Stegostoma tigrinum: one gene and its partner. The main gene of each other region encodes a partner of the protein of the gene in region 2 in a complex. Links are inferred from orthologs where the notes say so. Each region holds a gene or a part of one and is shown on either strand. Other genes may lie near its edges.

What was found. Proteins that work in one complex are often made in the same cells at the same time.
Region 1: the proteins of atp7a (region 2) and atox1 are in contact, whole or in part, in an NMR structure (PDB 2K1R), measured with the Homo sapiens proteins. The link is inferred for Stegostoma tigrinum from reciprocal best matches to the Homo sapiens genes ATP7A and ATOX1. Residues at the interface, in NP_000043.4 of Homo sapiens: Cys19, Asn20, Ser21, Cys22, Trp24, Thr25, Gln29, Asp67, Asp68, Met69, Gly70, Phe71, Asp72; in NP_004036.1 of Homo sapiens: Thr11, Cys12, Gly13, Gly14, Cys15, Ala18, Arg21, Val22, Lys25, Lys57, Thr58, Gly59, Lys60.

The regions. Positions count from the first base shown.
Region 1 is NC_081366.1:16,694,696-16,703,056, forward strand, and holds the start of atox1 (copper transport protein ATOX1), read left to right. Parts: upstream 1-5,358; 5' UTR 5,359-5,438; coding exon 5,439-5,444; intron 5,445-8,361. UniProt on the Homo sapiens protein: Binds and deliver cytosolic copper to the copper ATPase proteins. May be important in cellular antioxidant defense.
Region 2 is NC_081368.1:25,920,660-25,928,300, forward strand, and holds the start of atp7a (copper-transporting ATPase 1), read right to left. Parts: upstream 3,102-7,641; 5' UTR 2,986-3,101; intron 145-2,985; exon of another isoform or gene 75-144; intron 1-74. UniProt on the Homo sapiens protein: ATP-driven copper (Cu(+)) ion pump that plays an important role in intracellular copper ion homeostasis.

The DNA of each region.
Region 1 (8,361 bases), on a different chromosome or scaffold from region 2:
TACATGAATAAGAAAAGTTTGAAGGGATATAGGCCAAGCTCAGGCAGGTGGGCCCAGTCTAGTTTGGAATTATGGATGACGTGGACTGATTGGATTGAAATCTCTGTTTCTGTTCTGTATGACTCTGGTAGTAAACCTTGCTGATGTCTTTGGCTTGCCACTGGGCTGAGAAGCTGAGAGGAAATAAAAAGAGAAGAGGCCAACTTTTTCAAGGAGCAGTAATCTCTTGCACCAGATCATTTTACTCAGACTTTATTTTATGGTAGAATTTCTGACATGAGATACCAGTCAGGACTTCTTCAGTAATATGGAGCCATCTTCCAACCTCACAGTGTCAGGGGAAGGCAAGTCTTTTTTCAGCTGTCAGTGCCATATTCTGAAATGTAAAAATCCAGAATCACAGACAGCCAGTTTGACACTGCTGGCTAAAGGAAAGTACGTAAGGTATGTGTGGCCTTAGGGCGTCAGAGGGTAAGGTGCCAGCTTTTTAGGGAACAGGACACCAGGTGGAGAGGGTGCCAAATAGTACGAGGTAGCATGCCAGGACGGTAGGGGATAGGGTGTCAACAAGTAACAAATAAACAGATGGATAGGCTATCACACAAGTAGGGTGCTCAGGCGCAAATAAGTGACAAATAAGGTGGTTTAGGATGGGTGGGTAAAACTGGATATTGTGGTGTTGGAAAGACATCAAGTCCTGGGGTGGGTAGTGTTGTCGGGTTCTGGTGTAAGAAATGGTGTTGGGTCAGGATCTGGGGTGGGAGTGGTAAAGGATCAGGGAGATGTGTTGTTGGAACGTGCAAGGTGAGTTGGGGGGGGATGGGTAGTCAGTTAAAAAGCTAACTTAGAAGTTAGACGAAGTCTAACAGTGGCTTTTTCTGGAGCAGGGTCTCGTCAGTGCCTGGTTATCTCTGTAGCCACAAGAGATCATCCAATGTGTTTTCAGTTGCCTTTTCCCTGCTTTGAACATTAATAGTTTGAGGTTGTGTCTTTAGGTTTGACTTTCCATGGGTCACTCCATTGCCAAACAATGCTTCATTTACATCAGCGGCCATTTTTGGCAGTATGACCCCTCTTCTGAAGACACAATTACAAGGAAACTGCCCATCATACTTTGGGGTTCTGAGCCATGTTCATTGCTGAAGAGGTATAATCAGTTTAAGTTAGATAAAGTTTAACTTTTCAGTCATTTTCTAAAAACAAATAGGAACCACTTGTTGTGCAAAGGCAGCACACAGAGTGTAGGAGTTATACTATCAGTCAGACAAAAACAGCCCTGAGTGAAATATAAACAATGCCTGTGAAATCTGTGAGAAAATGGTAGATGATACAATATTATAAAAACAAAGAACTGCAGATGCTGGAAATCTGAAACATGAACAGAAAATGTTGGAGAAACGCAGGGCCAGTTTGAGTCTAGTGACCCTTCGTCAGATAGTGTAAGATATATGTGTTGTAATGGTTTGTATAAAGTTTAGAGGTGTAAATGGTTCTCTTTATGTATATGTGAAAATCAACAATCTTTGACCTGATTTCCTGTGAACTCTTATTGCTTTGGCAAGCTGTCCAATAAGAATGACAAACACATCATCAAGCTAAAGCCAGTAAGAGTCAGAAGTACACTCACACCACAAGAAGATCTAGAACAACAACTTACATTCATATAGTGCTTTTAGATTTTAAAACAAACCAAACTGCTTTATAAAGGCATTGTCATCAAAAATTGATGCCAAGCCACATATATGTTGGCCAAAAGCTTCTTCAAAGCAGTAAATTTTATGGTACATCTTAAAGAGAGAAGGAATGGTAACAAGGTTGAGAGATATAGGATGAGTGCAGCCCCAACAACACTCAAGAAGCTTGACTCCATCCAGGAAAAACGAGCCCGTTTGATTGGCACTACACCCACAAGCATTCACTCCCTCCACCACCGACACCCTGCAGCAGCAGTGAATACTATTTACAACATGCACTGCAGAAATTCACCAAAGATCATCAGACAGCACCTTCCAAACCCACCACCACTTCCATCTAGAGGGACAAGGGTATCAGATATATGAGAACACCACCACCTCAAAGTTCCTCTCCAAGCAACTCACCATCCTGACGTGGAAGTGTGTTGCTGTTCCTTCACTGTCGCTGGTTCAACATCCTGGAATTCCCTCCCTGATAGCATTGTGGGTCAACCCGCAGAAGGAGGACCGCAGCGATTCAAGAAGGCAGCTCATCACCACCTTCTCAAGGGCAACTACTGATGGGCAAGAAATGCTGCCAGCCAGCAATGCTCACATCCCACAAATAAATAGGAAAAAAAGGTAGTGTGGGAATTCCAGAGCTTAGGGTCCAGTGCTGGTGTGATAAAAAATGGGGATGTGGAAGTAGCCATAATCGGAGGAACAGAGAGATATTGGAGAAGTGAAGAACTTGAGGGGAAATATTGAGAGAGATAGGGTTAAAGTCATTGAATAATTGAAAACAATGGCAAAAATCTAAAATTTCTAAGGCTGCAAGGACAGAAATCCATGTAGGTCAACTAGCACAGAGCTGATAGATGAACAGTACTTTGTGCCATTTAGAATATGGGAGCCACTGTTTTGAATGACCATTCTACTTTGGTTGCATAAGACCTATCTGTAACATCAAGTGGTAGGACAAGATCGCTGACACTCAAATTTCTTTGCAAGGTACATGTTCACCAGAAAGCAGCTTTGCTGAAACAACTATGCAGTACACACGGAATTGTCCTGTGGTATTCTTCAGCCAGCTGGGCACAGAAACCCACACCACAGGACATTCCAAACCTAGACGCAAAGACATCCTTGAAGTCAATCTAAGACCCTGTACCTTGGATAACCCAGTTTCCTCCCCAGGAGGAGAAACAACCCCAGATCTTTACACCATCAAGCAATAAAGAAGAGCCATAAAAACATTTTTTCTTCCAAACTAGAACCTCAATCCAATGTCCCTTCAAATAGTAACAAGCCTACATTCTGGAAATCACCCATACTCTGGGATTCATTCCAGCACTGACAGGTCAACACACAGCTTAGGACAAAGGAACATTGAAATATTTCCTTTAGCTCCCCCCGAGCGGTGTTGTCTTAATACTGCTCACAGCCATAAATGACAACAAACTCTATGTTTAACTAACTCACCCACATTAAAGCAAGATTTTGCAGAAGCTGGAAAACTGAGAAGAACACAGAAAATGCTGTAGAAACTCAAAAAAATTGTCTTTTGATGTGTTATGTCAGTTCCAAGATTTCCAGTTTTCTGGCCCTAGCCACCTCCTTTCCTCTATGGATGAGAAATTCTTCTACACATCCATTCCCCCATCAGGATTAGCTGTGAGGTCTCTGCTTCTACCTTGAAAAGAGATCTGCATTGCCTCCATTACTGCCACCCTCCATCGCTTGGCTGGGCTTGTTCTCACTTAATTTCTCCTTCAACTCATCTCATTTTCTCCAAGTCAAACATGTGGCCATGGACCCCTGCATGGGTCCCTGGCGAGCCTGTCTCTTTGTGGGGTATGTGGAACACTCCTTGTTCCAGCCCTACTCAGGCTTCCACCCACAAGTCTTTCTCTGGTACATTAATAGTATCTTCCTGCTATTGCCTGGAATTTGAAAAAAATGTCTTGCTTCCAATTGCCATCTTTCTCACACCTCCACCTGCATCTGACTCTTTCCTTCCCTCACTTGACTTCAGTGTTTTCATTTCTGTGGATGAGCTGTCCCCCAGGTATCCACTACAACCCATTGATTCTCAGTGAAGGTTATCTAAGATTGCAAAGAGGTCTTGATCAATTGGGTCAATGGGCTGAGGAATGGCAGATGGAGTTTATCTTAGATAAATGTGAGGTATTGCATTTTGTTAAAACAAAAAGGGCGGGACTTACAAAACTAATGGGAAAGCCTTGGGCTGTGTTGTCCAGCAGAGACTTAGGGGTTCAGGTACATAATTCTTTGAAATTTGCTTCACAGGTAGACAGGGTGGTTAGGAAGGCATTTGCGTGCTTGCCTTCATGGCTCAGACCATTGAGTGTAGGAGTTGGGAATGGTATGTTGAGGTTGTGCAGGACATTGCTGAGGACTCGTCTGGAATACTTTGTGCAATTGTGGCCACCCTGTTACAGGAAGGACATTATTAAACTGGAGGGTTCAGAAAAGATTTACCAGGATGTTGCCAAGGATAGAAGGTTTCAGTTGTAGGAATAAGCCAGGTTAGGCTGGAACTTTTTTCACTGCAGCACAGGAAGTTTGGGGGTTGGGGGTGACATTCGCCTCTAATTGAGTTGTGGGTCTGAAGTATAGCCCGCGGGCTCCGCCTAGTGAGGGATCGCTGCGTTGCGTGTTTGGATTGGGGGGGGCCGGGCGCTCCTCCTAGCGGTGGCTGGCTGCGTTGCAAGTCGGGGTGGAGTGTCAGGTCGCCGGTTTGTGAGACGTCAAAGGCTCCGCGGGCTCCCCGTAGCGGCGAATCACTGGGTTGCCAGACAGCGGGTGGGCCCACGGGTTCCCCCTAGTGGCGGATCGCTCGGTTGCATCAGAGATAATGGGAACTGCAGATGCTGGAGAATCCAAGATAACAAAGTGTGGAGCTGGATGAACACAGCAGGCCAAGCAGCATCTCAGGAGCACAAAAGCTGACGTTTCGTGCCTAGACCCTTCATCAGAAAAGGGGGATGGGGAGAGGGTTCTGGAATAAATAGGGAGAGAGGGGGAGGCGGACCGAAGATGGAGAGAAAAGAAGATAGGTGGAGAGAGTATAGGTGGGGAGGTAGAGAGGGGATAGGTCAGTCCAGGGAAGATGGACAGGTCAAGGAGGTGGGATGAGGTTAGTAGGTAGGAGATGGAGGTGCAGCTTTAGGTGGGAGGAAGGGATGGGTGAGAGAACCCACTGCATCCCAAAACCAGCCCAACCCGTGCTTCCTCTCACCCATCCCTTCCTCCCACCACAAGCCGCACCCCCATCTACCTACTAACCTCATCCCACCTCCTTGACCTGTCCATCTTCCCTGGACTGACCTATCCCCTCCCTACCTCCCCACCTATACTCTCTCCACCTATCTTCTTTACTCTCCATCTTCGGTCCGCCTCCCCCCTCTCCCTATTTATTCCAGTTCCCTCTCCCCATCCCCCTCTCTGATGAAGGGTCTAGGCCCGAAACGTCAGCTTTTGTGCTCCTGAGATGCTGCTTGGCCTGCTCGGGTGCGTGCCAGGTTTTTTTTGGGGTGGGGGCGCTGGTTCCCCCTAGCGGCGGATCGCTGGTTCCCCCTAGCGGCGGATCGCTGGGTTGCGAGTCAGGCGGGTGGGCCCGCGGTCGCCCCCTAGCGGCCCTATTTGTGCCGGTGAATGGGCAGTTGCGCATGCGCCGAGGTGACAGCCGGTTGTGGACGAGGTTGGGAGCAGGAGCAGAGAGGCGGAGACCCCGGAGTCATCATGGCGGTGAGGCGGAGGGGGAAGTTGTGGGGGTGTGTGGGCTCGAAGCCCGGGGTGGGGTCCACGCAAACACCGCGCTTGTCACGGGGACCCGCGCTCTGGATCAGTACGGCCTGAGCGATTGTTTGTATTTCCTAGCGGTTGGACCATCCTTCCCCCCCCGGAGCTGGGGCCTTTCCCTCGCCCGTCCGCCTGGGCTATGAGTACAGCTGGCTGTTCGGCTACAGGAGGCGTATTACACCCTTGCCGAGTCCCCGGTCTAGCTGCTCCCGCGAAATGGCGCAGCAGAAAGTGTTTGCATTCCCAGAGATGTTTCGAGGCTAATTTTTTTTTAGGGCACAACCTTTTTGCAAGGCTGATGACAACAAATGGTCTGGGGTTTTGTGGGGAGGGGTGGGGGGAGAACTTGATACACATTTTCTGTCGAATGCATTGAGACCAGTTTGGATTTTGTCTCAGAGAGGGTAGGAGAGGTGAATCACAGGGTTGTAAGTTACTCTCCAAAAACTGAATGCAAAATCTGGGCCGGTACTTCGGTGCAGTACTGAGGGAGCGCTGCACTGGAGGATGGGCATTCCTGATTTCAGACAAAGAGTTACATCAAAGTCCCACCTCTGGCAAGAATGTGCAAGGTCTCATGGCACTATTTGAAAATGTTTCTCTCTACGCAATTCAGTCGATAAGCTCAAGAACAGAAGTTGCTGGAAAAGACTCAACAGGTCTAGCAGCACCTGTGCAAACAAAGTTTAACTTTTGGGTCCAATGACCCTTCTTCAGACCTTCGGTGTTTAGTAGAAGAGTTACTGAACTTGAACGTTTAACTCTGCTTTCTATGTCCAGATGCTACTAGACTTACTGAGTTTCTCCAGCAACTTCTGTTTTTTTTTTCAAAATTTCCAGGATCAGTTTTTTTTGGTATCTTTGATTCAGTAGGTACGGTGGTCAGTTCTGATGAAGTCTCAGGGGATTCAAATGTTCACTTTAGTGGCATGGGATCCTTTGTATGAGGCAAATGAGCTCAGAGCATGGATTGGCTGTGGGGACTGGGATATTATAGTCATAACAGAAACATGGCTAAGAGAAAGGCAGGATCGGCAGCTCAATGTTCCAGGATACAGAAGCTGCAGAGTGATAGAAGTACAAGTGAGGAGGGGGAGTTGCCCGTTTGATACGGGAGGACATAACAACAGAGCTTAGAGAACATATTCTTAAGGGGGTCATTAGATGATACCAAATGGTTTGAATTTAGAAACAAGAAGGGGATGCTCACTTTGTGACTTGTTATAGACCCCCAAATAGACAGCGGATACTAAAGGAGCAGATGTGTAGAGAGATTGCAGATGCACGTAGGAATAATAGAGTAGTACCGATTGGAGACTTTATTTTCTCCTGTATTGACCCAGAAGGTAAAAAGCCTGGATGAGGTGAAATTTGACAGATGTGAACAAGAAAGTTTCCTAAGTGAATATTTAGAGGGCCCTACTCGGGAGGGTGCAACACAGGAAATCCTCTTAGAAAACAAGGTCAGGCAAGTGACTGAAGTGTCAATCAGAGAGCACTTTAGGTCCATTGACCATAACTCTCATACTTATGGGAAAAGATAGAACAGGTCCGCAGGTTAAGGTGCTGAACTGCAGCAGGGCCAGTTTTGGAGCTATTAGGCAGGATCTATCAGAGGTCGATTGGGTGAGTCTGTTTGAAGGAAAAGGAACCACTACCAAATGGTAGACCTGGATGAACACAGCAGGCCAAGTAGTATCTTAGGAGCAGAAAAGCTGACATTTCGGGCCTAGATCCGTCATCAGAAAGGAGGCGGAGGAGGGGGAGGCGGATCAAAAATGGGTAGAGGAGAAGATTGGTGGAGAGGAAACAGACAAGTTAAAGAGGCAGGGATGGAGCCAGTAGAGGTGAGTGTAGGTGGGGAGGTAGGGAGGGGATAGGTCAGTCCGGGGAGGATGGACAGGTTGAGGTTAGTAGGTAGGAAATGGGGGTGTGGCTTGAGGTAGGAGGAGGGGATAGGTGAGAGGAACAGGTTAGGCAGGCGGGCACGAGCTGTGCTGGCTTTGGGATGAGTAGGGTGGGGGAGATTTTGAAGCTTGTGAAATCCACATTGATACCATTAGGCTGCAGGGTTCCCAAGCGGAATACGAGTTGCTGTTCCTGCAACTTTCGGGTGGCATCGTTGTGGCACTGCAGGAGGCCCAGGATGGACATGTCGTCTAAGGAATGGGAGGGGGAGTTGAAATGGTTCGCGACTGGGAGGTGCAATTGCTTATTGCAAACCAAGCGTAGGTGTTCTACAAAGCGGCCCCCAAGCCTCCGCTTTGTTTCCCCGATGTAGAGGAGGCCACAACGGGTACAGCAGATGCAGTATACCACATTGGCAGATGTGCAGGTGAATATCTGCTTGTTGTGACACTGATTTATAGTGATTGCATAGAAAGTTATCTCCATTTCTTTTGCCAGTTAGTGATTAGGATTTGGAGTCCACTGCCTGAAAAGATAATGAGTATGGTTTAGTAGTAACTCTCTTAGTGACCTTTATGAGTGTTTGGAGGAGAACAAAATTTCAGAGATAAGGGGAAAGAGTGGGGGAAAAGCAACTTACTACATGGCTGTTCAAAAACGTGGACATGTTTCATGTGATAAATGGCTTCCATTTATACCATAATTCTCTGGTTCTTTGTTCATCCACCTCAGTCTTGTTATTTTGAGTTTGTGAGACAACGTATATAGTGTCCGTTTTGTTTAAATATCTCCATCACATGCATAATTTGATAATTTTAATAACGGATCATTGGGATTCTGAAAACAGCAATTTTTATTTCTATCAAACCTTTAGTAAAATGTTTTAACAGAGCATTATAATCCAAGATTTGCCACAGAAGTACATGCCAGGTGATTTTTAGTGAATGACTAATAA
Region 2 (7,641 bases):
ACTTCAGTGTCTCTGAAGCAAGATTTTAGATTTTGGCTGTCCTCAAATTTTCTTCCTATCTTTCCCGTTCTTACCTCAACCTCTACCTCTCCCCAGAAGGTGATCAATCCAATCTGAACAGAAGGCTGGATAACTTAAACTAAGGCTACGGATTGATAATTACTATGAACAAAGAGACCTTTGAATGCAAGTTCATAGTTCCTTGAAAATACAGTCACAGGTAGACAAGATTGTGAAGGTGGTGTTTGGTATGCTTGTCCTTATTGGTCTGTACATCAAGTTAGGAGGTCATGTGACAGCTGTACCGGACATTGGTCAGGCCACTTTTGGAATACTGCATTCAATTCTGGTCTCCCTGCAATAGGAAGGATGTTGTTAAACTTGAAAGGCTCAGACAAGTTCTACAAAGATGTTGCCAACGTTGGAGGGTTTGAACAATAGGGAGACACTGAATAGACTGGGGCTACTTTCCTTGGAACTTCAGTGGCTTATAGAGGTTTATAAAATCACGAGAGGCATGGATAGGCTGAGTAGTCAAGGTCTTTTCCACAGAGTAGGGGAGTTCAAAATAGAAGCATAGGTTAAAAGTGAGAGGAGAAAGATTTAAAAGGGAGGTAAGGGACAACTTTTTCATGCACAGGTGATGTGTGTCGGAATGAACTACCAGATGGAGTGGAGGAGGCTGGTACAATTACAACATTTAAAAGGCATCTGCATGGGTACATGAATAAGAAGGGTTTAGAGGGATATGGGCCAAATCTAGCAAATGGGACTAGTTTAGTTTAGGATATCTGGTCAGCATGGATGAGTTGGACCAAAAATTGTACTGTATATCTCTATGACTCTGAATTATGATATAATCACAATTTGTTCTCAACAAAGTCATTCGCCTTCTGATAATACTTTTAACTAACACTTTCATTTCTTCAATACATAAAAAAAGTAAAGTAATGCTACAGAGAATAACAACCTGTGAGCAACTTACTTGAAGCAAGAGGAGGGATCGAGTGGTATATACATTCTCTTAAAAGCTTGCATTGAACACCAACATTCAATTTAGTCCAGGTATACATCATACGTAAGTCGTCTAAACATTTCAATTAAATTCTATACTGATGTAACAAGTTAAGGCTCACCAGATGTGCTATTATTCCTCGACACTTCACCTATACTATTAAGCTCTCACCATAATAACGTCCTCAACAATACATTTTCACCACAAGTTCACTTGTGTCATTTCCTTGCTTGCCATACAACAACTATATTAATGCAACTTTCAGTTCTGTAAAATAACTCACCACAAAGCTATTTAGATAATGGCTGGCCGAGTGGTAAGTCACTATGTCAGCTAACGTACTTAATTGTTTTCTCATCTATGAATCACTGGGGTGTAGATCCAAGTCTAAGTCCATAGCACAACCACATAATCTAGGCTGACACTGGCCTATAGTGTTGAGAGTGCTGCACCACCAGCTATCATCTGGAGGTCCAAAATGTGTAGAATCTGCCTCAAAAATGATGCCCCTCATAACGAACAGTACAAGAATCATCACATCAAGATCACAGAATCCCTACAGTGTGGAAACAGGCCCTTCGGCCCAATAAGTCCACACAACCCTCAGAACATCCCACTGAGATACATTCCCATACAACCCACCCAACGTACACATCCCTGAACACTATGGGCAATTTAACACGGCCAATCCACCTAACCTGCACATCTTTCGCCTGTGGGAGGAAACTGGAGCACCTGGAGGAAGTCCAAGCAGACACAGAAGAATATGCAAATTCCACACAGTCACCTAAGGGTGGAACTGAATCCAGTACCCTGTCGTTGTGAGCAAACAAGGTGTGGAGCTGGATGAACACAGCAGGCCAAGCAGCATCTTAGGAGCACAAAAGCGACATTTCGGGCCTAGACTCTTCATCAGAAATGGGGGAGGGGAACAGCGTTCTGAAATAACGGGGGGGGGAGATTGAAGATGGATAGAGGAGAAGTTACGTGGAGAGGGTACAGACAAGTTAAAGAGGCAGGGATGGACAAGAGATTTGCAGTGGGAGAGAGATCCTCTGAGGTTTGTCTCCGTCGTGAAGCAGCAATGTCTAGCAGCAAAGTTGGAGTACCCATGAGTAGTCAGGAACTAGGAGAACAAAAAATCCTTTAAACTATAAAAACAGAAAAATCATAAGCTTTCCTCTACAGAGCAATTTAGTGAAAATAAAATGTAAATCTGTAAATGTTGTCCCTCCATCAAGTTATAAAGATGGGGATCACCTTTTACTCAGCTGCCTTCCCACTCAGCCAAGGCTCAGCGCAGTCTAGTCCAGAACTGCGAGTTTTTTTTGGTAATTTCTGCAGCTCCCTCATAACACACAAAATTTATCTCGCTCATGTGACTCACTTCTGCTTCTCTCCCTTCTCTTCTTTGTCTGATTTTTTTTTTAAAAAACTCTTCTTAAAGCCTATCCCTTTGATCAAGCTGCTAGTCAGCCCCCTCACGTCTCCCGAGTCAGTGTTTGTGTGGTTATACTTCTGTAAAGAATCTTGAGATGGTTTTTGTACATTATAAATACAAACTGCTTCAAAGTCACTAATAATCCATCTCACATACAAGCACTTCCAATACTACCTCCCCTTTAATACACAACTTCAAAATACATCTGCACCAAGTTTCCACAAAATATTCAATTCACAAGAACCTTCGTTCTGTCTGACAGTATTATTTCTCATTCTGTTTCCTGGAACTTCCTGGAATTTGCTTGATTCTATTGAACATATTGCATTATTATTAATTCCTTTGTTATGCTATGTTTGTTTTCATGCTGATCCACGTTAGAACCTGTTGTTTATTTAGAAGATTCCAAGGAATTGAAGCTGTAACTCATTTCTCCCTCACTGTGGCACAAAAGGCATGTTCTTTTTTGTAATTTACACAAAAAGTAAAGTTTTATATTTACGCGACAGCATCACCAGCGGCTGCTCACCTTAGGCCTCGGCCGATCACTTCTGTTCTTCCCGGGAACAACACACCACCAAAGACGACTACTACCTCCGGAACGGATCGTCGCCACCAGAGATTCCCGGAGGGATGAGATTAAGGAGTGGAACCCGCGCTGCGCATGCACGCGGATGACTTTCGTGACATGGGGCGGGACCAGATGATGCTGACGTCACTGAACATGGACTGTCAATCAAAGGAATGGAAGGGGAGGAGGGAGAGGACAATGTTGGATAGTTCTTCATCAAAATATGAAGGGGTCAGTGGGTACAGTAAGCTCAAAAACAGCAGCAAAAGTGTGTTTTCAAATAACGCTCCACAAATGAAAAAAAACTAAAAGTTAACATGAAGGTTGCTTAGAAAATGAATTAATTCTAAGTCTAATTACTGGAAGATAGTGACAGACTCTGTGCTGCTACTCAGGGCTCCAACAAACAAAGAAAATATTGAAAACAGGAGCAGAAGCAGGCCATTCAATCCTTCGAGCCTCCTCCAGCATTCAATAAAATCATCGAATTTAGTACCCTAATCCCACTTTATGCCTTTTTCCTTTGATCTCTTTAGCCCTAAAAGTATACAGTAAACCTTCTCTCTCTCAGCAATTTCACCTGTCTGTCCCAAAAAGTAAGCAGCAACACAATTCATCACCAGCGGGCAAACCCACCTATCAACAAATTTTAAGCTACTTTTAATGGACTCCGTGCTCGCCAATTTCATCATTCAGGGAACAACACCATCACAGAGACTGAGGAATGTCTGTATCTGACTCCTTCACTGTTTTGCTTTCAATGGCTTTCTGTTGCTGCGAATTGCTTAGGTTTGCTAGTCTGGGTGGAGAGGTTCCTTCTCAGTTTTAATGCCACTTCCCCCTCACAGCTTAAAGATGTGGGTGGTCACTCCAGCCAGGCTCAGCAGCTAGACCCACTAAGAGGCCCTCTACTGTCCTCAGCACTGGATGGCCAGAGACTATAGGAGTATGAAGCGAAAGTGGAATCGAACATTGAGGGACAATTTAGTCAATTAAATAATGGAACAAGAGCTGCAACCTCTCACACTCCAACTAATGTGGAATCTAGACTCCACCAAGCATCTAAAGTTACTGACAACCTGGGAGTCAGTCAAGTCAGTCAATGAACTTAATAATTCATGCCAATTGCGCAACATGTTCATTAATGGTGTGGGATTGTAGGTTTTTGCACACTTAATGTTCAATGTCCCTTTAAAGCAAGTTTGTGAATGAATACTCAAAACTTTGGAAATGATGTTCTGGCACTGAGACCATCAGGGAATTTGCTTAAATTGCTTTGGTCTGAATATCAAAACTAAGGCTGAATCCCATTGACTGAAATTAGTAAAACATTCCAGGGTTAGAGTATTCAGGCAAGCACAGTGAACAAATGAAGTGTGCAGCTTCATATATCTAGGACACTAGGGAGGAAAATGAACAACAAGTAACAAAACAAAAACAAAGAACAATGGATGCTGGAACTTTGAAACAAAAACAGAAAATTGATGGAGAAACTCAACATGTCTGGCATAATCTGACAGAGAGCAAAGTCAACATTTTTTGATTTGAGGGACCCTTCTTCAGGACATTTGTCTAAGCCTCAGTCACAATAAAAATAAAGCCTATAGCTGAAGGTATGCTTTGTAGCATAGGTGGATCAACAAAACAACTTGTAGGAGGATGTTGTCATCAGCTATAAAGGGGTATTAAGAAGAACGTAATAAATAGTGTCACACAGTCATGTTACAAAAGGCATCTATGTCAACTTTATTAGTAATGTTTTTGGAAATTGCGTAGATCTTGGAAATTTACAATACTTCAAAGACGATGCAGAGAAAGACAATAGGAGATTGCAGAAAATTTGGTTAGATCAAGGACTTTTTACAACAATGGGGTGATTATAGTTGTTTTGAAAGGTGGGAGTACAGTACCTAAACAGATAGAACTATTTGCAAATCAATTCCTCAACAGCAATACTTTTAGATCCACAGAAGTCCATATTTTTTGTCTTATAAATAAAGCTGTTGAACATGGCAGAAATATGGAGAATAGAATGAAATATTATTCCCAGCTGCCCAAGAGCAAACCCATTATTAATGGCTTCTAAATCAACATTCAGTCAAAGTCATGCATCTGTTCAGAGTAGCACATAGGTAATCACAGACCTGTGAGCCTTACATCTGTTGTCGGAAAAATTTTGGAAAGGATTATAAGAGATAGGATTTAGAATCATCCAGCAAGCAACAATTTGATTGGAGATTGTCAACATGGATTCGTCAAGGGCAGGTCGTGTCTCACAAACCTCATTGAGTTTTTTGAGAAGGTGACCAAGCATGTGGATGAAGGTAGGGCAGTTGACATGGTGTACATGGACTTCAGTAAAGCCTTTGATAAGGTTCCACATGGTAGGCTATTGGAGAAAATACAGAGGCACGGGATTGAGGGAGATTTAGCAGTTTGGATTAGAAACTGGCTTTCTGTAAGAAGGCAACGAGTGGTGGTGGATGGAAAATATTCAGCCTGGAATCCGGTTACCAGTGTTGTGCCTCAAAGATCTGTTTTAGGACCAATGCTGTTTGTCATTTTTATAAATGACTTGGACGCAGGCATAAGTGGATGGGTTAGCAAGTTTGCAGATGACACTAAAGTCAGAGGAGTGGTGGACAGTGTGGAAGAATGTTGCAGGTTGCAGGGAGACTTGGATAAACTGCAGAATTGGGCTGAAAGGTGGCAAATGGAGTTCAATGCGGATAAATGTGAAGTGATTCACTTTGCGAAGAATCATAGGAAGGCAGAATACTGGGTCAATGGAAAGATTCTTGGTAGCATGGATGTCCAGAGGGGTCTTGGTGTCCACGTACATAGATCCCTGAAAGTTGCCACCCAGGTTGATTGTGCTGTTAAGAAGGCTTACGGTGTTCTAGGTTTTATTGGTAGAGGGATTGAGTTCTGGAGCCGTGATGTCATGCTGTAACTGTACAAGACGCTAGTGCGGCCTCACTTGGAATATTGCGTGCAGTTCTGGTCGCCCCATTACAGGAAGGATGTGGAAGCACTGGAAAAGGTGCAGAGGAGATTTACCAGGATGCTGCCTATTCTGGAGCGAAGGCCTTATGAAGAAAGGCTGAGGGACTTGGGTCTGTTCTCATTGGAGAGAAGATGGCTAAGAGGGGATTAATAGTGACATACAAGATGATCAGAGGATTAGATAGGGTGGACAGTGAGAGTGTCTTTCCGAGGACGATGACGTCAGCTTGTACGAGGGGGCATAGCTACAAATTGAGGGGTGTTAGATTTAAGACAGATGTCAGAGGTAGGTTCTTTACTCAGAGAGTGGCAAGGGCATGGAACGCCCTGCCTGTCAATGTAGTTAACTCAGCCACATTAGGGGCATTTAAACAGTCCTTGGATAAGCATATGGATGATGATGGGATAGTGTAGGGGGATGGGCTTAGATTAGTTCACAGCACAACATCGAGGGCCGAAGGGCCTGTTCTGTGCTGTAATGTTCTATGTTCTATGTTCTATGAATACAGCACTTCTTCAGGATATCACATCTTCACAAATGTAAAAGTATCTGATAATGGGTTCTGGGAGTGATTAGCAATCATTTGTGCAGAATGCAGTAAATCTGAAGTAGCTATCAAAAAAGTCTAATCAGTTAAAAAGGTTACATCTCAAGGGTGTTTGATTACAAATCTAAACAGGCTACTTTTTCCTTGTGTAAATTTCTGGGAGAGCCACACTAAGAACATTGTCAACAGCCCTTTGCAAAAGATGCATTGACATTGGGCAGTTCACCACTTGAAAAGGTATATTTTGTTTTGTACAGAGCCAGGGTTCACCCATGGTAGTGTTTCCGAACATTGTGCTTGAAATATTTGAGCAAAGTCCTGAAAATGTGTCCCAAACCAATGGCATTCTCTTGATTATAATGACTGGAACTCCCTTAGACACAAGGGCTCAGTTGGAGAGCAATTTGTTAATGTGTCGTGGAGGGCTTTTTGAGACAGTATGTTGACAATCCTACCAGAGAGGAGGCCGTGCAAGACTTGATATTAGGGAATGAGCCAGGACAAGTGATCGATGTTTCAGTAGGAAAGCATTTTTGGCTTAATGACCATAACTCCATAAGGTTTTGAGTAGTCATGGACAAGGACAAAACTGGCACTTGGGTGAAGATGCTTAATTGGGCAAGGGCCAATTATATCCAAAATAGACAGGAATTGGGGAATGTGAATTGGGAGCAGTTGAGGGCAAATCTACATCTGTCATATGGGAGGCTTTTAAAGACCAGTTGATTAAAGAGCAGGATGTGCATGTTCATGCAAAACTGAAGGATAGGAATGGCAGGATTCAGGAACCATGGATAACAAGGGAAGTTGTAAGCTTAGTCAAAAGGAGAAAGGAAGCATGCTATAGATCGAGGCAGCTACAAACTTACAAAGCCCCTGAGGAGTACAGAGAAATTAGGAAGGAACTTAAGCATGGAATTAAGAAGGCTAAAAAGAGCCATGCAATGTCTTTTGCAAACAGGATCAAGGAGAATCCCAAGGCTTTTTATGCATATATTAGAAGAAAGCGGGTTGGAAGGGAAAGAGCAGGCCCACTCGAGGACAAAAGAAGAAAGTTATG